Schizosaccharomyces pombe: one gene and its partners. Changing the gene in region 1 together with any one later gene gives a genetic interaction. Each region holds a gene or a part of one and is shown on either strand. Other genes may lie near its edges.

Region 1 (6,545 bases):
TCTTGCCCATTCTCCCTTTAAAGATCTCGAAGTGTGGACAGAAGTCTTACAAGATACTTTCTTGCCTCTCTTTGACTCTGAAAAGTTACGTTTTGCTACTGCTACCTCAACCCGTTTTTCTCCTCAGGGATTTGAAAAATTCTACTCAAACTATGATTACTACAAGGAAAGAATTTTGTTACGCCCTCAAGTAATTTCCAATCACCCTGAAATTATCCGCCGTCTTGGTTGCATCGCTATGAATACTCCTGTGGAAGCCGATATTTACGCTCATGCCAATAGTACAAATGTTTTGGGAAGCAGAATGTTGAACGGTTTAGGTGGTTCTGCTGATTTCTTGCGTAATGCGAAATTAAGTATTATGCATACACCATCGGTTCGTCCTTCGAAGAAGGATCCTACTGGTATCACTTGTATTGTTCCTATGGCTACCCATGTTGACCAAACCGAACATGATTTGGATATTTTGGTTACAGAGCAAGGATTGGCTGATTTACGAGGCTTGTCTCCTACCGAACGTGCTCGTGAGGTTATTGACAAGTGTGCTCATCCTGACTATAAGCCTCTGCTCAGAGAGTATTTCGATATTGCCGAAAACTACTGTTTAGCTAGAGGAGCTGGTCATGAACCCCATATTCTTGCCAATGCTTTCAAGATGCAGCTCAACCTTTTAGAAAAAGGAACGATGAAGATCGATCATTGGTAAATTTAGTTATCAGTTGTTATAGCCACTTTTACTCTTTCTAAGGGTTTTCCAAAACCTTGTTACGACTAAAATACAGCTTCTTCGTGCTGTTATGACTTAATGTATTTCATTTTTACATTAATTTAATTTACGAAATAAAAAAAATCCGTATACTAAAATTAGTGTTTATAAGTTAAGGAAATTAGTTTTGAGTAAGTAAATCCAACAATCATAATGCGTATGAATTTTCCAAGATACACAGAAATGAGCGCGTTTATTTTATGAGCAGTATTCCTTTGAAGATTATTAATCTTTAGTTCCCCTGCAAAATTCGTAAGTTGGCTGTTTAGTACATACCTCTATATTACGTTGAGTTGTGAGTCAGCATTTCTGCTATTAACCTAGTATCAAACCTGCTTACTCAGAGAGGAGTACCACCAAAATTTAGGAAAGGATAATCAAGTATAGAAATTATCGTACAGTTTTGTCTGGATCAATAGTTTCCATTCACCAGTATTTATTCTGCAAATTATAATCTTTGTCGCACCACAATAACCTGAAAGTAAATATGGCCTCAAAAGTCGATTCATCTCATGAGTTCCCCAGCCAAATCAAGAGATGCTTGTCCTCATCCAAATATATTCAACTAGCTACTTGCTTTCATGATCAGCCTCACTCTTCTTTGATGACATTTACCTATTTACCTGCAGGAAGCGCTGCCCCTTACGAAGTGGAGGATTGCATTATTTTGTCAACAGGAGAAAACAGTAAAAAATATTTTAACATCAGTTCGGTATGTATCATATTTAAAAGTTTAACTTATCCTTGATCCTGATTGGTATTTTCTTTTTTCTAACATGATGACTAGAATCCTCGAGTATCATTACTAGTTCATGACTGGACCACTAATCGTCAAGAAACAGATCCTGATGCCTCCTCATTGTACACCTTACTTTATAAAATGAATCAGGCTCAGTTCTCGAATACATCAGTGACCTTGAATGGCCTTGCTACCGTTCTTCCAAAGAATAGCAAAGAAGAGGAATTCTTTAGAGAAAAGCATTTAAACACTAATGACAAGGGTAATACGAAACAATACGTGGAGGGTGAGGATATGAGAATTATCAAGATAAAGTTGGAAAGTGCGAGAATTTGTGATCAGAGACTCAACAACGTCCAAAAATGGAATGCAAGAGGAGATGAGACTCCATTTTGAGTAAACAAATGTTTTATGAGTGTCACTTTGCATTTTCTATTTTTTAAAAATCAATAATGTTTGAAGAATTTTTGAATGCTTCGTAGATCTAACCATAATGTATAATCGTGTGTATGATACATGGGAATTTTGTTGGCTACATGCTTTGCTAGACAGCCTAGTGGAAAGCGTCTTGTTTATACGTGTGTTAAATAAGCATAGAAAAAGTGAGGAAACGGTGTGACTTTAAGCTACCTAAATAAGACCAAACAAAAAGCAGGGAAATAAATCATGATTCGTTGAATAAGTGTATTATCATAAGTTGTTCAGTATCAATTGTACCTTTTTCTTTTTTTGAAGTTATCGGAAACACTAAAGTGCTGAGTGCTAAAATTATCATTTAGCTATCCTCATCCTCGGTCTCCGCATCTCCTCGATAATTCGGATCGTTTCGTAAAACGTTATTGTCCGACTGATTAGATTCTGCTGGTTCTTCTTCTTCATCCTCCTCCTCATCTTCACTTACAAGGTCCAAAGGAACAATACAAAAGTCTACAAACGTACAAAGCCCTTCTTGACCGACAAGCATGATTTGAATGCTCAAAGTTCCATTTTCATCAATACGTAGGTTTACTTTAGAACCCACTTGTAATGCTTTCAGCGCATGTCTTATTAATGAGAAGCGGTAGGAATAAGTGTTTTCAGAATCAGTTTCAAAAGACTCTAAAACACTTTTCTCGTTTGGATATTCTATTTCCGTAGTGGATAATGCCCCTACACATCTCAATAAGAAGGTTGATTTTTGGGATGATGTATGAATAATTAAATTTTCGCCCATGTTATTGTCTAATTCCACCAAGGCATCATATAGCCAGTTACTTTTCATAATGATCTTCGTGCACAATGTGCTTGCAAGTCTATTGATGTCAACGTCGTCCTCACATTCCATAGTCAACAGTTCACAAGCCGTAGCATAACCAGCCATTTCCTCTACTCTTTATTTTTGTCAGTACAGAATGTTAATGATAAAATCCTTACTCCCATATAAATGGACAGCCGGGTCCATTATACTGTACTTTGCAGATAACGCCTCGTTTGTGCATTATGTTTACAGTGGGTTGATCCCAGGCACTAGTTGAAATCCGTTCTTTTCCATCTGTATAAATTGATAATGATTGTAAAAGAGGTGAAATCATCGTCTGGAACATATATGTATCCCCATCTGAATCACCCTGAAAATTAAACGTTTGAAACAACGACTTATCAAGAAAGGCGTGAGCTTAATGTGTGAGTGAACAATAAAGAAAAAGTGAATGCATTTCAAGAATCGCATTAATATATGAAACTTTATTAAGTAGCTTCAAATTTTTTAACGATCATAGATGTGAGACTCGACTTGTCTTACCCTGCAAAGACTGCGATTCCTCCACTGCAAACCGTAGTCCACGACTTGTGATTTCGATAGTACATTCCTTTGAAAAATCAATGCATCGTAATGTTGACTGAATCTGCTTTAAGCATACTGTTTCTGCTTGAAACATGCGAATTTACGTCCAACAATAAAAAATTGGTTATATGCTACAACTTGAACACCCGTAAATGCTAATCTTATAAATTGATAATTTTTCCTTCTGATATTAAAGGACTTGACACTTGATTACAAGACCAAACGCAGAATAAGAAAGACAGTTCAAGTTAGAAGTTATTTAGTAAAATTCGAAAAGGTGCACAATTTTAAAAGGTATGCAGATTACTAAAGGAAATGAAAATTGAGATTGCTTTTTCTTTTTTAAAAAAAAAAAAATTGTGAAATATTTTATTCTGATATATAAATTTTTGGAAAGCCGTAAAGCTTAATAGACGAGTATTTTATTTATTAATTGAATAGCATCTACTTCTAACTGTCTTTATTTATTTATCTCTCGACACAGAAATTTTATCAAATTAAATACAAGTTTTAAGAGCCATATTTGAATTTACCAAATGATATTCAAAAAAGCTATAGGATCCCAGTAAGTTGATTGACTCAAAACTAAAGATACAATTAAGGATTTGTAGCTTAATGAATTTGATTGTTTATGAAACAAATGGTTCATTTATTAGACAAATATTGCAAATTGCCGAACTGTTTTAGTGATAATAGCTAAATTTAAATTGCTTTAGAAAATCCATAATTGTAATTTTATCATATATACAGTTAGGATGTCATTTTTACACCCTCTTTTGAAAAGTCATTGCTACAATTAAAAGAAAGGTAATACAAGATGGATCTAATTTCTTCCTTATTTAATCAACCTAAAAAATTTCGAGTTAACTGCATGCACTTTATTTAGCTTCTCTTCTCTTAAATAAACACTTTTTATCCTTCTTCCAATCTCTCCTTTCTTGGATATAAGAGTTGTATAATATTTATAAAACAGAGGGGAATTTACTTGCTGTTATTATTTTTTTCCAAGCTTAGATTCTGGTTTTCACTTTTGATACACTTTGTACATGCCTACATCTTACCTAGCTTTTACTTGAACTGGTAAACGAGAGGAATTTTAGGAACGAGTCAGGCGTTATAATTGAATTGCACGATAGTCTTTTCATAAGGCTTTTATTTTACTTGATGCGGCTATAAAATATAAGTTTGTCAAAATTATTTATTTTGTATCAGACGGTTTTCATATATTCAATTTGAAAAGGAAACTGGCGCATAAAAAATACATTATTCTAAATGGATGTAGATTCAATTTTTAAAAATACCGAGGAAACAAATAAGAAAAGGAACCCTGAGGAAGCAGACTCTTTGGAGCCAGCTAGTAGTCGCAGAAGACTCGCTGAAGAGAATAGCGATGAGGAGAATGAAGAATTTGACGAGGAAGGAGGTAGATTTTTTGGAAGTGGGCTTAAAAAGAGTGAAAAAACCGTTTTAGACTTTTTAGACGAACAGGAAGCCCAGGAAGAACCTGCTTCATTGACTCCTACTGAATTGAAGCGCATGGTAGTACGACTTGAAAAAACAATTAATAATAATCAGGAGTTACGCATCAAGTATTCTACTTCTCCTCAAAGGTTTATAGAATCAGAGGCAGATCTTGATCTGGAAATTCGAAGCTTCAATGTGCTTTCAGAGTATCCTATCCTCATACCCATTTTCCTTAAATTAGATTGTGTTTCCACGTTTTTAGAATTAATGAACCATGAAAATGCGGATATTACTATTACGGTATTGGAGCTATTGATAGAACTGACTGACGAGGATGTTGACCCAGACGCATTAAACTCCTTATTTACTTCCCTTATAGATTCTGGTTTGCTTCCTTTGCTTTCAAATACAATCAAAAGGTTTGACGAATCTAATGAGGAAGACCGACATGGAGTATATTGTGTGCTCTCTCTTATGGAGAATTTATTATCTGTGGACAATAGCATTTGTTCAATAATAGTTGAAAACACAACATTGGTAGAATGGTTACTGAGTAGATCGTCTGTTGATGAAACTTCTATATCAACTAATTTGCAGTACGCTGTTGAAATTTTAGCTATCATTCTCGCTAATTCAAAAGAAGCTAAATTGAAAGTGTGCAACTTGAATGGGATTGATCTTTTGTTGCGCCGGATCAGTCCTTATAGGCTTCGTGATCCAACCCAAGGATCAGAAGAAGAAATGATGGAAAACGTGTTTGATTGCTTATGTAGTCTGGTTCAAGAAACGAAAGGAAAATCCCTTTTTCTAAAAGAGGAAGGTATTGAATTATGCATACTAAATATGAAACATAAAGGAAAAAGCCGTTATTCTACAATCAAAGTTTTGGACTATCTTTTATTTGGGCCTCTTTCCACTCCTTATTGTATTCGATTTGTAGAAGCAGGCGGTTTGAAATATATTTTTGCTGCGTTTATGAAAATATCTGCAGCCGATACTCTGGAACATATATTAGCTATTCTGGCATCTTTATTTCGATCTTTACCTGCTGACACCGTAGAAAGGGTGCGCTTTTTACGGAAATTCATTGAAAATGACTTTGAAAAAATGAAACGCCTTTTCAAAATTTACGATCGCTTGAGAATCCAACTCAAAGGTATTGACCAAAGCAGAAAACTTGATTTTAGTCCTGATTCGGAGGAAAAGAGTACCAAATGGTTTCTCCAACAAATTGATCATGGACTGTTTCCTTTCCAATCTACAGTTCTTATCCTTTCGTGGTTATGCGTTGAAAATACAGTGACATTGAAAAAAATTAAGATGCTGTTTTCCGAAGCATCCATTCCAATTGATGAGTTGACTGATGCTCTAAAAAATTATCATGAAAACCTTGAAGAACCGACGGTGGAGTCCGAAGAGGTGGAGGCCAACGACTCTTACTACAGAATTGACGAAAAACCTATGGTTACTGTTTTACTTGGATCTATGCAAGCATCTGTGTAATAAAATCATGACTTGTTCTGATAACATATTTTCAATTTAATGAGTTGTACATTTGTTATTATGGAACATAAAGAGTGTTTGGTATTATAGAATTATATATATTTTTAAACAAAAAAACTAAAAATTAAACACTAGCAGTTCTTGATATGCCAGCATATTTGGAAGGCACAAAAGATATTCGTGTAAAAAATTAAAAGGTGAAATGTATATGTTATAATCAATAAAACTTCGGAATAGACGTTTCGATGATA
Region 2 (9,174 bases), 3.5 Mb from region 1:
GGTTATTGTTGCCGGTAAAAATGTTTTTGTAGTTTCTACTATGTGTTCTTATATTTTGTATTTAGGCTATTGGGGATAATTGCTCATCCGTCTACTGTTTATACGCAACAGCCGCAGATATTTTTTATTTATTTAATTTTTAATTATTACCCTGACCCGATAATTAACCTTGTTAACTGACATTATCTTCAACCCCTGAATAATAATTCATTTGCCGTTGACTTAGAACATACTAAATTTATTTATTTCTTTTTTTATTTATCAAAAAATACTGTTAATCCAAGCTTTTGCGCAATCAGCAACTACTTTTTTGCAATCTTATTTATTTAATATTTGCATTAAAATTGTGTAAGAAAAACAAAACAAAATTATCAACTTTTTATATACATACATATTTTATATTGATCTAACGCATAAAAAAAGACACGCAAAAGAAAAAAGATTTATTTATGAAATTCTATTGAATAACTGGATTCAATATTTCACATATTTTTTTATTTACTTACAACAAGGAACAAATATCGAGATCCAACGTGATATTCTACCTGGTATCTTAATAATAGTTTGGCTGTTGTAATGTGGTTTAATACACTAATATAAAATAAAGAGGGTTGCTTAGCACTCAATAATGCAAAAGATCTTATACGTACTTAGTTATAGAATTTTCTTTTCACCATTTTCATAGCATTTTCATATATAATAAAAAAACAAAATGGCGACTACGGCGCAAAAAATAAAAGAAGTTGAAGATGAAATGGCCAAAACCCAAAAAAATAAAGCTACGGCTAAGCACTTGGGAATGTTAAAGGCCAAGCTTGCAAAATTGAAACGTGAATTGATCACCCCTACCGGTGGAGGAGGTGGTGGAGGGCGTATGTACTGAACGTCAAATTTTTGTTTGGAGTACTAATCTTTCTTAGTTGGTTTCGATGTTGCTCGTACCGGTATTGGTACTGTAGGTTTCATTGGATTTCCCTCCGTCGGTAAAAGTACACTCATGACTCAGCTTACAGGAACGAGAAGTGAAGCCGCTGCATATGAATTTACAACTTTAACAACGGTTCCGGGTGTTTTGCAATACAATGGTGCAAAAATTCAAATTTTGGATTTGCCTGGTATTATCGAGGGTGCCAAAGATGGTCGTGGTCGTGGTAAACAAGTTATTACTGTTGCACGTACTTGCAACCTTATATTTATTGTTTTGGATGTATTGAAACCAATGTCTCATAAGCGTATTATTGAAGAGGAATTGGAAGGATTTGGTATAAGATTAAATAAGGAACCCCCCAACATTGTATTCAAAAAGAAAGAACGTGGTGGTATCAATATCACCAATACTGTCCCCTTGACTCATATTGATTTGGACGAAATTCGTGCTGTTTGCAGCGAATATCGTGTTAACTCTGCTGACATTGCTTTTCGTTGTGATGCCACCATTGATGATTTGATTGATGTCTTGGAAGGAAATCGCGTTTATATCCCGGCACTTTACGTGTTAAATAAAATTGATTCAATTTCTATTGAAGAACTTGATTTGATTGATCGTATTCCTAACGCCGTACCCATTTGTGGTAACAGGGGTTGGAACATTGACGAACTTAAAGAAACGATGTGGGACTATTTGAATTTGGTTAGAGTCTATACACGCCCTAGAGGTCTTGAACCTGATTACAGCGAACCTGTTATCCTTCGTACTGGCCATTCTACTGTCGAGGATTTTGTAAGTTTTCGAATTGCTTCTGCCGATCTTCGTGTTGCTAACTTCTTTAGTGTAACAATATTCATTCAAGTATCAAATCCCAGTTTAAACATGCTTATGTTTGGGGAAAAAGCGTTCCTTATCCTGGCATGCGTGTTGGTTTATCTCATGTACTGTTGGATGAGGATGTAGTGACGATTGTCAAAAAATAAGTCTTTTTTCCTAACATCTTACTTTCCTTGGTTTCCCAGTATTGGAATATATAGGCCTGAAAACTTATTTAACTGGTTACTCTAATAGGTGGGTTACAATGACTTAAAATTTTAGATGGTAATTTATTTCGTTATTTGTTCAAATTGTTTTTTCTTTAAAGTAAAAGTTTTCGTGTATTATAAGCTTAATGAATGATTGTGTAGAGTGTTTTGTGACATATGTCTTCCTTCAATTACTTTTTAATATCAAATTTGCAAACGCAACTTATGAAACGCTACTCACTTTGCTGAAAGAACCGATCATTAAATAAATCATTTCTGAGTATAGTACGGGAACTTTTAAAGGTTAAAGTTGAAAATTTTAGAAGAATGAGTCTCCAATTAGAGAAAAATTTGATTCTTGAACTTATTCCTCATTTTTACAGTCTTGGATGGATGAAATTTGGCAGGTAGCGTTCAAGACGTTTAATGTTCAGTAATTTTTTAAAGCTAATTGGTATTTAGTGGAAACTTTTGTCTAAAGAACAAGTAATTGTACGGTATTCAAACGATTTTGTTAACATTTAGTGGTTATGCAATTTGCGTTAAGGACAGGGTTCAAAGAGACTTCATAACGGAAAACGATATCGTGACCTTTAATTTAAGGTAAATTATTCATTTGGATCAGCTCCAATTAGTATCTAACCTTTTATACAGCAATCAGTCAGTCACCAAGGATTTAGTCAATTGGGCCTACATTTTCTCATGGGTTTTGAGGTATGCATCATTTTTTCTATTTACAGCAATTTTTAACACATCAAAAGTAATATGGATGCAGTAGCCTGTATATATTCTACTTCAGTCGCTGCAGTCGGAGCATCGATGTATAATGAGAAATTTACTACACAATCTAAGGAAATGATCAAAGGAATTCCAAAGGGAAATCCTTCAGCAGGCTATCTTTGCTGTTTTGATACTCTAGAGGTTCCTAGTAAGTTGTGTTTTCTGTTGGTGTTGACTGGTATCTGAATACTGATTATGTAGTTATCCACAATGGCGATAGTAAAACAATATTAGATGAACTAAAAAAAGTCATCGAGCTTTATCCACAAACATGTGCTGTTCTTATTCGTGGACATGGGGTTATCGGTTGGGGAGCAACATGGGAAAAATCAAAAACTCAAATGGAATGCTACGAATATCTTTTTGAGTTAGACTACAAATTGAAAACGTTGTAGGCTATTTCTAAACACTATTTAATTCTCTAAATCAGCATTCCTTTCATACGTTTCCTTTTCTCTACGAGTTGCTGAAGGCGTTGTTGTCGGTCGTCAAATGGTTTTGTCTTGGATGCTTCTTCATTCCTTGAAGATATAGAAATATTTACATCCGGGAGGTCTTCCTCTAAATTATTGTTGTTGTCATAAAACAGTGTAGACTTGTCGTAAGAAAATGAATTATGTTGTCCTTTCCTTTTCAAAGTTGTCATCCTGTATGTTAATAATCTGTAATTATCGTTAAACAACTCAATAGTTTAAACACTTACGGATTTGGGTGTAAAGGTTGTCTAAAGTCATGCATCTTTGGCTGTTTTGTGTCACGATCCGTCGAGTTGATATTTGATACTTGGAATTGGTTGTTTATTTCTCTTCTCCACTCCTGAGCCTTTTGCGAATCTATAGTATTTAAATGCTTTAAAAATGAATGTATACTTTTCGTAGCTAGAGAATGCGGTATCCGTCCTGTAACACTCAATTGAGATAACCTCCTATTTCTATGAATATCCAAACCTCTTAAGCAAACACGCTTATATTTTTCCAGTTTCTTTTCTTGTTCAATGCTATATGTAACGGGACATATCTCGAACGGTGATTCTTCAGACTTGGCTAAAGCACGTTTCGGTTTACCTAAAGCGGACGCAGTAATAAATCCATTCAAGGCATTTTCTGGCATGAAAAATTTCTTTTTTATTTTCGTTCTCAATTGCACTTTCTTTGGAGCTACTACAACTTCTTCATTTTCTTTGGGAATTTCTATGACTCGTTTATCACAAACCGGGCGAAACTTTTCTGGTAAAATTCTATAACTTTTTTCCGATAGGCTGAGACCGCGACCACTGACAATATTATCTTGCAAAGTTCGATAAGCGTCTTTGGCTCTCTCCCATTTTGCTTCTTCTTTGCCTCGCGTCAAAAGCATATAAATATAACCTTTCCTTTTTCTCCCAGTTCTGCCCATTCTTTGTAACATCCTTATAGGAGAAGCAGATGCATCGTAACATATGATCATGTCTACTTCACCTATGTCCAAACCCTCTTCTCCAATAGAGGTAGCTATTAAAGTATTGACTTCACCTTTTTGAAATTGTTTCACAGTCTAGAGATTAGTTAGTTAAGGATCCATCATTTTCAGATTACATACTTCATTCTGTAATTTTTGAGACATTCCAGCAGCCTTTCTCACAGCAGATTGTCCAATAAAAATAGCTGGTCTCACATTTGGATAAAATTTACCCAAAAATCGTAAAATCTCTTCGGCGCTAGAGCGGATTTCAACAAAAATCATAATTCTGGTATCCTTGGTTTGTTCTTTTTCAAAATATTCTGTAACAATACGTTCCAAATGCTCTAGTTTGGGATGTCCGACAAAAGACTGATCTCGCAACAAAATTTCTATATCGTCCATTAAAGGACGATAATTTTCGTGATTTATTATGCGTTTCTTATAACCTGATCTTCCTACAAAGCATTCTTCTTCTACCTCTCGCAATTTTTGATAAAACGGTCGGATACCATGGTTGAGTAACAAATTTAAAGGATAGGCAAAAGTCGCTAATGCATCAAAAGTATTTAAAATATCCCATTTTTGATTAGCAGGAAAGTTTTGACCAGACATTGCAAGAAAAGCTTGTTTAGCTTGAACCACAGTGAAAGAAGTTATGTCTTTAGCATTCTGAATTCGATAATAATTACCCTTGTTCAATTTTTGAAGCATAGGTTCCAATATAGAAGAAAATCGATCTCTTATATCTGTAATCTCTGCAGACAAATCTACAGGAAAAAAATCCACCTCTTTCTTCTGAACGTATTGCGATATATCAATGCTGTTTTCAGTTCTAATCTCAATCCTGGATATATGAAGAGAATCAATTACATTCTGAATTGCTTCTAACTTATTTCCGGGGGTAGCACTAAGAGCCAGTATACGGAAATTTTTGTTGCTAAGAGAAAGTAGATGAACAACTTCCACATAAGCGTAATTTCCAGTACTACGATGTGCTTCATCAATTACTAAACAAGATATACGAGTCCGATCGCAAATTCCATGCTTGATGTCGTTTAAAATGGTTTGAGGAGTTACGAAGAAAACATTTCGACTTTGATAATACTGATTTCGAGTTGTAACAGGAACGTGTCCACTTAATTCAGCAGTTTGACTCTTTGGAATTCCAGTGATTTTATAGCAAGCTTCCATTTGTTGTGTAACCAATGGTTTAGTAGGAGCCATGAAAACAATGTAACTTTTTGGAAACCAACGAAGATAATTCATCATCACAACGGCTGCAATAAATGTTTTACCTAAACCTGTTGGCAAAGCTACAAGTACATTTTCAAATAAAGCTTTTTGGACAATATTAAACTGATAATCTCGAAAGGAGACGTTTATAGGGTATACCCATTGCTGTGCTGCACTTTCATCTAACTCGTGTTGTAGACGATATCTATTGGAATCGTTGGCATCAAAATATTCATCAACTGAGTATCCATTTAAACCTATCGTGTTATTATGATATTCATTCTCAATTTTATCAACTACTTGGGTGTCCAATTCGTCCCAGTCTTCATCACTACTAAAAGAATCATCGGACATCCTTATCAATGATTTATATTGTTAGCAAAAATTTAGCTGGAATTACTTAAAAACGAATTTTGCTAAGGTACTTCGTTTCGTCAGTCGTCAAATACAACAATTCCATAAGACATTCACTGCAAAGCGTCCTTTATTGTCGGAAGTAATTGTAAAGGACAAGTTTTTTCCCTCAAATGGTTTAAGATACAATTAACTTCATGAGAAAGTAATGAAGTTAATTATGTTTAAAATTACATTGCCAATGTGTATATTCCATGTCTTTTCAGTAACGATTTGTTATAACGAATTATTGCGCGGGTGTAGTATTGTATTAGGGAAGCACCTAATAACCGATATAGAATTCGTATATCATCATAATGGTTTTTGTATATATTCACTATAAGTCGCTCTCTATACGATAAACAAATAACAAGCATAGCCGAACAAATCCTATCAGAAAGACATGTAATGGCTCTTAGATTAAAGAAAATGATTAGCTAGATGAAGTAAAACGAGTTGAAAAGTGTCCGTACATAGACTAATGTTGCTAGAATTCAGGACTTTCTGATGTTTGTACCTTCAAAATTGGACTTTGTTTGTGGTAACATATCACACATCAAGTGAGTAAAAAAACACTCATTTATCGAATAATAGCCATAATCTTTAATCTATCACATAATTTGAAATTTCCTCTTCGAAGAGTTCCTTTGGAAATTCCATAAAGCCATTTAACGTATTTTAAATTTACTGATTCACTAAGTATAAATTAAAGAATTTAAGCACTGCATTAAGTGAAATAGTGATTTTGTTCAAAGGTCATACTTCTATGAAATTGTAAGCTACGCAGTTTGGTATCTGATTTAAGGATACGTAGAACTGCGGTGAGTTTTCCTTGTGATCTATTATATTACAATACACAGGTTGTATAAGTAGCAACTGAGTATAGGTATTGTATTAACTGGGTTATAATGTTACCTATCACTAATATAGCTCATAACTGAACTGAGGAACGAGGTTCAGCAGTAGCTCTATTTATAGTATTCAGATAATATTGATCTTAATAGATTATCATTAAGATCAATCTCCATATCGTATCATACATGGTACGATATATAATTAGAACATGTGACATATAGTGATACTCAACGTAGTGTATTATAGCGTAGTGTAGTATTGCTGACATTGCCCTCCCCAAGATTTTCTATGTAAATCTGAGGATAAGTCATATGTTCTCAGATATTTAGATTATTGTTTTTAATATAATCATTGACAATTGCTTTGTCCGCTTGTAGCGCTGTAGCTAATGTAGTCCATCCTGACATAATAGTACTCGGATTTAGATTCGAAATGTACTTGACATTTAAGTAGAGTACTTGTTCTCTGTTTTTATGTTCTAGGATATGAAGAATTGTTCCAATATCAGACTCATCAATGGTAGCGTAATTGAGTTCTGAATTATGTCGATACTTTTCTAGGTGAGAAACATGAAAAGTAGATGAAAACATGTGCTTGATTGAATCTGGAAGATCCAATTCATAGTTGTTTGGACCCGACTTCTGTAACACATAGAACGGTCCTGCAAAACTAGGTGCTAATTTATTGGATTTATGAAGAAAACCTGTTTTCGTTCTTTTGACCATAACTAGGTCTCCAGGTTGAAATTCTTCAATTTCTTGTATTTTCATATCGAAATACTTTTTCATCTTTATGTTGTTTGTATTCAAGTGTTCTTTAACTGTTTGAAATACTTGGATCGTTTCCTGAGAGTTTTCGTCAGTTTTGTCACTAAAGCTAGGTAACTCTAAAGGTGATAAAGCTGGTGAATAGCGATGTACTATCTCAAAAGGTGTCATTTGAGTTGCTGAATGTATCGCATTGTTGTAAGATTGTTGCACTAGGGATATATGATCTACCCATGTATTTGGATGTGTGCTACATACACATCTTAGTAATTTCTCCACAGTTTGGTTTGTACGCTCAGTTTGTCCATCAGTTTGTGGTCTGTATGGTAACGAAAATTTCATAACGAAATTATATTTATGTGCGAAATCTTTCCACGTTTGGGAAGTAAAAATATGATCATTATCTGCAATGATTTCTTTTGGATTGCCGAAATAAGCAATAACTCGTTGATCAAACATTCGAGCTGTTTGCTCTGCTGTAATGGATTTCGTACAAGGTACTAAGATTGCCATTTTTGAAAATCGGTCAACTACCACGAAAAGTGCATTATAACCAGATGATTCTGGTAAAGCTGTAATAAAATCCATTGATAAAGATTCCCAAGGTCTTTCTGATGGGGGAATTGGTTGTAAAGGTCCATAAGGTTTATGATTCCTAGATTTGTTTATTTGACATGTATGGCAGTTCTGTACATATTCTTGTATTTGTTTTCTTATTCCTTTCCACGTAAATCTACGTAATATAATGTTTGTAAGAAGTTCAATGCCTGGATGAATCAATTTACCTTCTTCATGATACTTTTTAATAATTGTCCTAGTCAGCTGAGTATCATTAGGTAATAAGATTTGGTCTTTACTGTTAATTAGTAAGCCATCTTTGAGTTGGATATTCTCTTCCACTCGTTTGTCTTCATTGTTTAGTAAATTCAACAATTTTGTATCATTCGTATATTCTGTAACCACTTGGTTTTTAAAATCATCGGTTATCGAGATTTGATTAACAAAGTTGATACTATTGTCTTCTGAATCTTTTGGAATTGGTTCTGTTTCGTCAACAATTCTGGATAAGGCATCAGCTATGTGATTTGCTGATCCAGGTCTGTAGTTAATTTCAAAGTTGAAGTCTTGTAAAAATAATTGCCAACGAGCTAAACGTTTGTTTTCAGGCTCGGATTCGTTAGTAATGCGACCAATTAAGTTTCGATGGTCTGTTAAAATTTTGAAAGGTTCGATAGTGGATTCTAAATAGTGTCTCCAATGTTTGAGAGACTTAATGATTGCAAGCATTTCTTTGTCCGATACGCTATAATTTAATTGTGCTTTAGACATCTTTGCTGAATAGTATCCAACAGGATAGTATTTATCATCATCATGTTTTTGAGACAATACGGCTCCTACAGCGACATCTGAAGCATCAGTTTCCAGTAGAATCTTTTTACTGAAATCAAAGTGTCGTAGCACCGGAGGAGAAACTAAACATTGTTTAATGTTTTCTATCGCTTGGGTTTGTGTTGGTGTCCATTTCCAGCGTACATCCTTTTTCAAAAGATTATTGAGTGGATGTGTTAATTGTGATGTCTTTGGAATGAATTTCCTAAGATAATTGACAGAACCTAGAAATTGTCGTAATTCTTTACGATTCTTAGGTTGCTTCCATTGTAAGACTTTGTCTATATTTTCTTGACAAGGCGTAAATCCTTTTTCCGAAATGTGATACCCTATAAATTTTACTTGTGATTGGTGAAATTCACAT
Region 3 (5,082 bases), on another chromosome or scaffold:
GTGTTAACGTTGACCAAGACACCAAGGACATGCTTAAGTCTCTTGGCTACGATCAAATTCCCGTCCGTGTGCTTGCTCCTGCCCCTCAAGAGCGTTTCCGTCGCAGACAGTAAATGAAATTTCGGTCGTAATGGGTCCATTTATACTTTTCAGTGCATAATTTGCCATTACTTGGCTTCATCTTTGTTTTCCTTTGATGTAGTTATTAAAATACTATTCAATGCGAATTTTTTGTATTTAAATTTCATCGTATTGTAAGGCTATTTTTTTTTGCTTCCCTTATATTGCAGTGTTTTTTTTAAGTTATTTAGCTTCCACATTCTTTGAGTAGAGAGATATATAAGAAGCAGATCAACATGTTCTTCTAATATGTTGGAATTGAGTAATATAGCATATGTTGATAAATTTTTTAGTATCCGTGCAATAGTATTACATTTAATAATTAAATGAAATGTGTTACCTGCTTTCTCTAAGTTTTCAATGATTTTTTCTTTTTTTTGCATTTATTTTGTGTTTGTGCAATAAACATTTTCATTATATTTTTGTTTGTGCAATAAACATTTTCATTTCTAAAACGTATCAATTGTCCTTAAATGAATTTTTATCAACACAGCAACATGTCAAACAGTGGCAGATGAATGTCTAATTTCCAAGGAAATTCATCATGATTAAAATTATTATTAATGACCCTTTTTTTACCCAAAAACATCTTTACGACATCGTTTACATGCTCAACCTCTTGTACCTATTATATTCTGTTTTTAAAAAATAAAAGAGATATACGAGCATAAATAAAACAGAGCCAACTATCCCTTTTATTTATTTTTATTTTTTGCATGTTTTATTAAAATAAATAAGCTATTCCTTTTTAACATTTACAGCAATCGTACACAATCCCTTTATTTTTCCGAAACAATTTTTAAACGGAATTTAATTTTTGATGAACATCAATCCATATACTATAAACATGGTTTTAAAATTTTTACTTCAGGCAAATGAATAAAAAATGCACATACAAAAACAATACTTAAATGTATAAAAAAAATTTATTAGAAATAAACTTATTTTATGAAAGAAAATGGGATAAATAGAATTATTATTTGTACATACCAACAAGTCCCGTTTAGCTCAATCGGCTTAGAGCGTCCGGCTTTTAACCGGAAGGTTGCGAGTTCGAATCTCGCAGTGGGAGTTCATTTTTTAATTTTTATATTTCGTAAATACACACACCAAGCGCACAAAAGTTAACTAGCAAAACAATTAGAATATTTACTATACTTTTTTTTTTTTTATACTTAATGATTTAAACATTAATTTGTATCCTTGTTCAGTGTATTTAATTTTATATTTCTGTTAGGATGTCATTCATGTACTCTTATCGCCATTAGGAACAAACTAGTATTTGAGGCGCATTGGAGTTATATAAGAAATAGAAATAAACTCATTTGGTAAAGTAATGGATCTTTACACTTAATGCTCAGTAAATGTAAGTCACAATTCATAAAATAAATTAGAACCACTATCACAATTCTCTTTGAATACGACTATTACCATCCAACCGTCTATTTCAACTTCAAGCGGACTTTGAAGGGTTACAAGGCACTACAGCAAATGTAAACACAAAGCTTACGATTTCTACAAATTCAACTATATTCTAAGAGGCGAAAGAAGTATGAAAATGAGATACCAGATGAATTAGATAATAAGAACTGGAAGGAAGGAAAAAGTGTAAAACCTTATAGAAAGATTAAAAGGCCCTAGAATAATATATGGCTTAGTTTTCGACAGCAGCAGCACCACGCAAAAGACCTGTTCTGCGGGCGGCAATAAGACCGACCTTTTGACCAGGAGCAGATTGACGAGGAACAGTGGTAGAATGACCAACGTGTTGATGGTTACCACCACCATGAGGGTGATCAACAGGATTCATAGCGACACCACGAGTACGAGGCCAGCAGTTGCGTTTGACACGGTACTTGTGGAATGCACGTCCAGCCTTGAGTAAAGGCTTATCAATACGTCCACCACCAGCAACAATACCGACAACACCACGGGCAGAAGAAGGGACAACCTTCTTAGCACCAGAGGGCAACTTGACACGGGTCTTGCCAGTGTCAACATCATGACCGACAATGATAACATAGTTACCCGAAGAACGACCCAATGCACCACGGTCACCAGCCTTTTCCTCAACGTTTGAAATGATGGTACCCTCAGGCATTTCACCAACAGGCAGCACATTACCAACAGTCAAAGCAGCGTTCTTACCGCAGTAGACAAATTGGCCCGTGTACATACCCTCAGTTGCAACAAAGGTCTCAACATCGGTTCTGTAATGATAAGGGTTACGAAAGGCAACCTTAGCCAAAGGAGCGCCACGACCAGGATCATGAATGATCTTTTGGACGACACCACGAATATAACCATGGCGTTCAGCAAAGTCCAAAGTACGGAGCTGAGCAGCACCCTTACGAAGACGGGTATGAGCTTGGAAAATTCCACCACTCTTTCTTTGAGCTCTAATAACACGTCCCATGGTTGTTAGATGGCGATAGAAAACTTCCTAACGGACCTTCAACAGTATGTTTGGATGATAAACAGTGTACATGTGACTGCTTTAACGACCAGGGTAGGGTTACTGAAACATTCGAAAACAATATCCCTGTTGATTTATTGCAAACTCCAAATATATCGGAATAAAGAGGTGACAGAGCAATTGAAAATAATTGCAATATTTTGATATATTGTTGAGTTTATTCGTTTAAATGCAATTTTATGCTATCTATACTAAACTATAGTAATAGAAGGTTAAGAACTTAATTATTACGAGGAAAATCAGACTGAGGAACGAATTTACGTTTCTAAACAAATTTTACAAACTTGAGAAATTGCAACAATAACAGAGTATACAGAACGATATTGTAGTTACGAAAACATTTGAATCTTATGAATATGAATTAGTTAAGAAAATATATTTTTTTTTCAGCCGATATGAGCATGTACCATTCTGTTGAAGTTGAGAAGTTTTCTTGGTAAACTAACTTTGGAAAGAGAGTGAGTACACCGAAATTTTCTTTTTTTCTTTCAATAAAAAAACACAAATTTTCGCATCGTTTATGTTTGACCCATAAATCTTAAAAAAAAAATTGAGTTGGACAATTTTGTACTGATATGAAAATGCAACGTAATAGTAAATAAGTACATTTAAAAGGTAAGAATTTCGAAAAATAACATTTAAAGTAGACTTGTGAAACTATAGATTTTAAACTAACTATTTCCGTTTTCAGATGTTTTTGTACATACACCAATAGTTATCTACAGACAATCACTTAATTGCTGCTTGTACTTCCATTCGCTAACTCTCAGCTTAAGCATATAAAACCAAATTACTAACTCAACTCTTTTGTTCCGTATAATACTCATTTTCTGTGTTAGCCGTGGATTGTGTTTTCTCTCAAGATACAAATCTGTTTGACGGTGTTAAAATTGATTATTGTCTCCCTTTTTCGAAAATCTGGTCAACCGGTTGTGCTCAAATTTTACATTTTTGCTAAATTCAGTCTGTTTATTTCTCAAAAACTTATACAGCTACTTTTACCAGTTAAGTGTATATACAATAGCAATCAAAAACCTATGAAACCGGATACCGTATCTTTGACTAGAGCATTTTCTAAAGCCACATCAACTTCTTCTAAGGCAGCTCTCAGCTGGCTTAAAAAGTATAATTTTGATTATGATGTGGCCTACACGAAATGGATACAGCAAAAATCTAGAGAAGAGGCGGAAAAGCAATTAAACAATGTTTTCAGTCAATTTTCCTCTAAAGAGGATAAAGATTTGATAGAACTTGATGGCTCGGTGCAATTATTTACGGCGCTAGACATTTCACTCGAGGATCCTGAAACTCTACTTGTTTCTTATTTCCTAAAGTCCCCGCGAATGGGAGAATTCCATCGAGAAAGTTTTGTTGAAGGTGCTCTCAATCTCTCAACAACTAGCCTTGATCAATTAAAACTTGCCATAAAAGAAAAAGTGCAAGTTTGGAGGTCAGATGCATCCCTTCAAAAAGCCATTTATATTTACACATACCCGCTTGCATGTGATAAAGGAAAGAAGACTTTAAGCACTTCCATTGCCATTGAATTTTTCCAGATTCTTCTTAAAGATACTTTTCCTCTTCTGGATGATTGGATTGCTTTTTTAAAAGTTTCCCCTATTATCGAAAAATCTCTGCCAAAGGATACGTGGAATGAATTATGGGATTTTAGTGTATTTGTTAAATCAGATCCCAATTGCTCTAATTATGATTTTGAAGGTGCGTGGCCAACCCTCATAGACGAGTTCGTGTCTTACTATAGAGAACACGGTTATAAAAACAGCAGCTCCTAACAAATAACTGCTTTTCTGTAAGTTGATTTCAATGACATCAATGAAAAAATAATAAACTCTTACACCCCAATAATTCTCTACAGCAAACTGCTGCTAGTTTAACCCTAAAAACATTTTAGTAATGAGACACATATGTTTAATAATAAGAAAAATAATGAATATATTAATGAAACTATAAAAAGAACATGTACAACAGTCAATGGAAATAGCAAGTGCGAAAAAAAATATAATAACAAAAACGTTTATATACAAGGCAAGACAAAAATGCAAATAGATAATAAATCACAGATAAATAATAGATACTAGTTGTCATCATGATTTTCATCATGACTGCTGCCACTTTGAAAAATATCATCGTACTTTGGAGGTGGTGCTTGATACGGGACAGCGGTCCAGGAATCAAAGGATGGTGGAGAATTTCCGATAATGTCAGAATCAAGTGCGAGATCCCTGTTCATACCAGCAATGATTCTGTTGTCGATTGAGCAAAAATTTACCTCACTAGAGGGGATAATAGGACAATACGCAGGTAGCATAGTTGAACCATCAGAACATCTGCAAGATAAGAGTCGGACAGGAGAATCAATATAGATTTCCAAATATTTTGCAGAGCCCATTAATTCAGGAGAATTTTCGCAAGAAAAGCGAAGTACTGTACGCACAGTATGTGTTATTTTAATGTTTGGATACGTA

What was found. Genes that interact genetically often act in the same process or in processes that back each other up.
Region 2: mutations in rad1 (region 1) and fml1 together harm fitness more than expected from each alone (negative genetic interaction), as found in Schizosaccharomyces pombe (2 studies listed by BioGRID).
Region 3: mutations in rad1 (region 1) and dcn1 together harm fitness more than expected from each alone (negative genetic interaction), as found in Schizosaccharomyces pombe (2 studies listed by BioGRID).

Annotation. Positions count from the first base shown.
Region 1 is NC_003424.3:4,975,495-4,982,039, reverse strand, and holds rad1 (checkpoint clamp complex protein Rad1), read right to left. Parts: upstream 3,463-6,545; 5' UTR 3,422-3,462; coding exon 3,286-3,421; exon of another isoform or gene 3,160-3,285; coding exon 2,919-3,159; exon of another isoform or gene 2,876-2,918; coding exon 2,281-2,875; 3' UTR 1,902-2,280; downstream 1-1,901. Other genes in the region: ach1 (acetyl-CoA hydrolase), read left to right, coding at 1-706; SPOM_SPAC1952.08C (pyridoxamine 5'-phosphate oxidase), read left to right, coding at 1,254-1,478, 1,554-1,901; SPOM_SPAC1952.06C (uncharacterized protein), read left to right, coding at 4,600-6,294. UniProt on the Schizosaccharomyces pombe protein: Recombinational reparation of DNA damages induced by UV and gamma radiation.
Region 2 is NC_003424.3:1,467,646-1,476,819, reverse strand, and holds fml1 (ATP-dependent 3' to 5' DNA helicase), read right to left. Parts: upstream 5,987-9,174; 5' UTR 5,761-5,986; coding exon 4,312-5,760; intron 4,267-4,311; coding exon 3,437-4,266; exon of another isoform or gene 3,381-3,436; coding exon 3,155-3,380; 3' UTR 3,129-3,154; coding exon of another isoform or gene 2,935-3,128; 3' UTR 2,882-2,934; coding exon of another isoform or gene 2,715-2,881; 3' UTR 2,668-2,714; coding exon of another isoform or gene 2,608-2,667; 3' UTR 2,557-2,607; coding exon of another isoform or gene 2,479-2,556; 3' UTR 2,440-2,478; coding exon of another isoform or gene 2,416-2,439; 3' UTR 2,361-2,415; coding exon of another isoform or gene 2,281-2,360; 3' UTR 1,912-2,280; coding exon of another isoform or gene 1,771-1,911; 3' UTR 1,721-1,770; coding exon of another isoform or gene 921-1,720; 3' UTR 873-920; coding exon of another isoform or gene 713-872; 3' UTR 545-712; downstream 1-544. Other genes in the region: SPOM_SPAC9.07C (GTPase Rbg1), read left to right, coding at 713-872, 921-1,720, 1,771-1,911; SPOM_SPAC9.06C (5'-methylthioribulose-1-phosphate dehydratase), read left to right, coding at 2,281-2,360, 2,416-2,439, 2,479-2,556, 2,608-2,667, 2,715-2,881, 2,935-3,128; Tf2-1 (retrotransposable element/transposon Tf2-type), read right to left, coding at 6,972-9,174. UniProt on the Schizosaccharomyces pombe protein: ATP-dependent DNA helicase involved in DNA damage repair by homologous recombination and in genome maintenance. Capable of unwinding D-loops. Plays a role in limiting crossover recombination during mitotic DNA double-strand break (DSB) repair.
Region 3 is NC_003423.3:598,735-603,816, reverse strand, and holds dcn1 (neddylation protein Dcn1), read left to right. Parts: upstream 1-3,357; 5' UTR 3,358-3,633; coding exon 3,634-4,389; 3' UTR 4,390-4,538; downstream 4,539-5,082. Other genes in the region: rps1701 (40S ribosomal protein eS17), read left to right, coding at 1-113; protein new14, read right to left, coding at 261-503; rpl803 (60S ribosomal protein uL2), read right to left, coding at 1,775-2,536; aly1 (arrestin-related trafficking adapter), read right to left, coding at 4,692-5,082.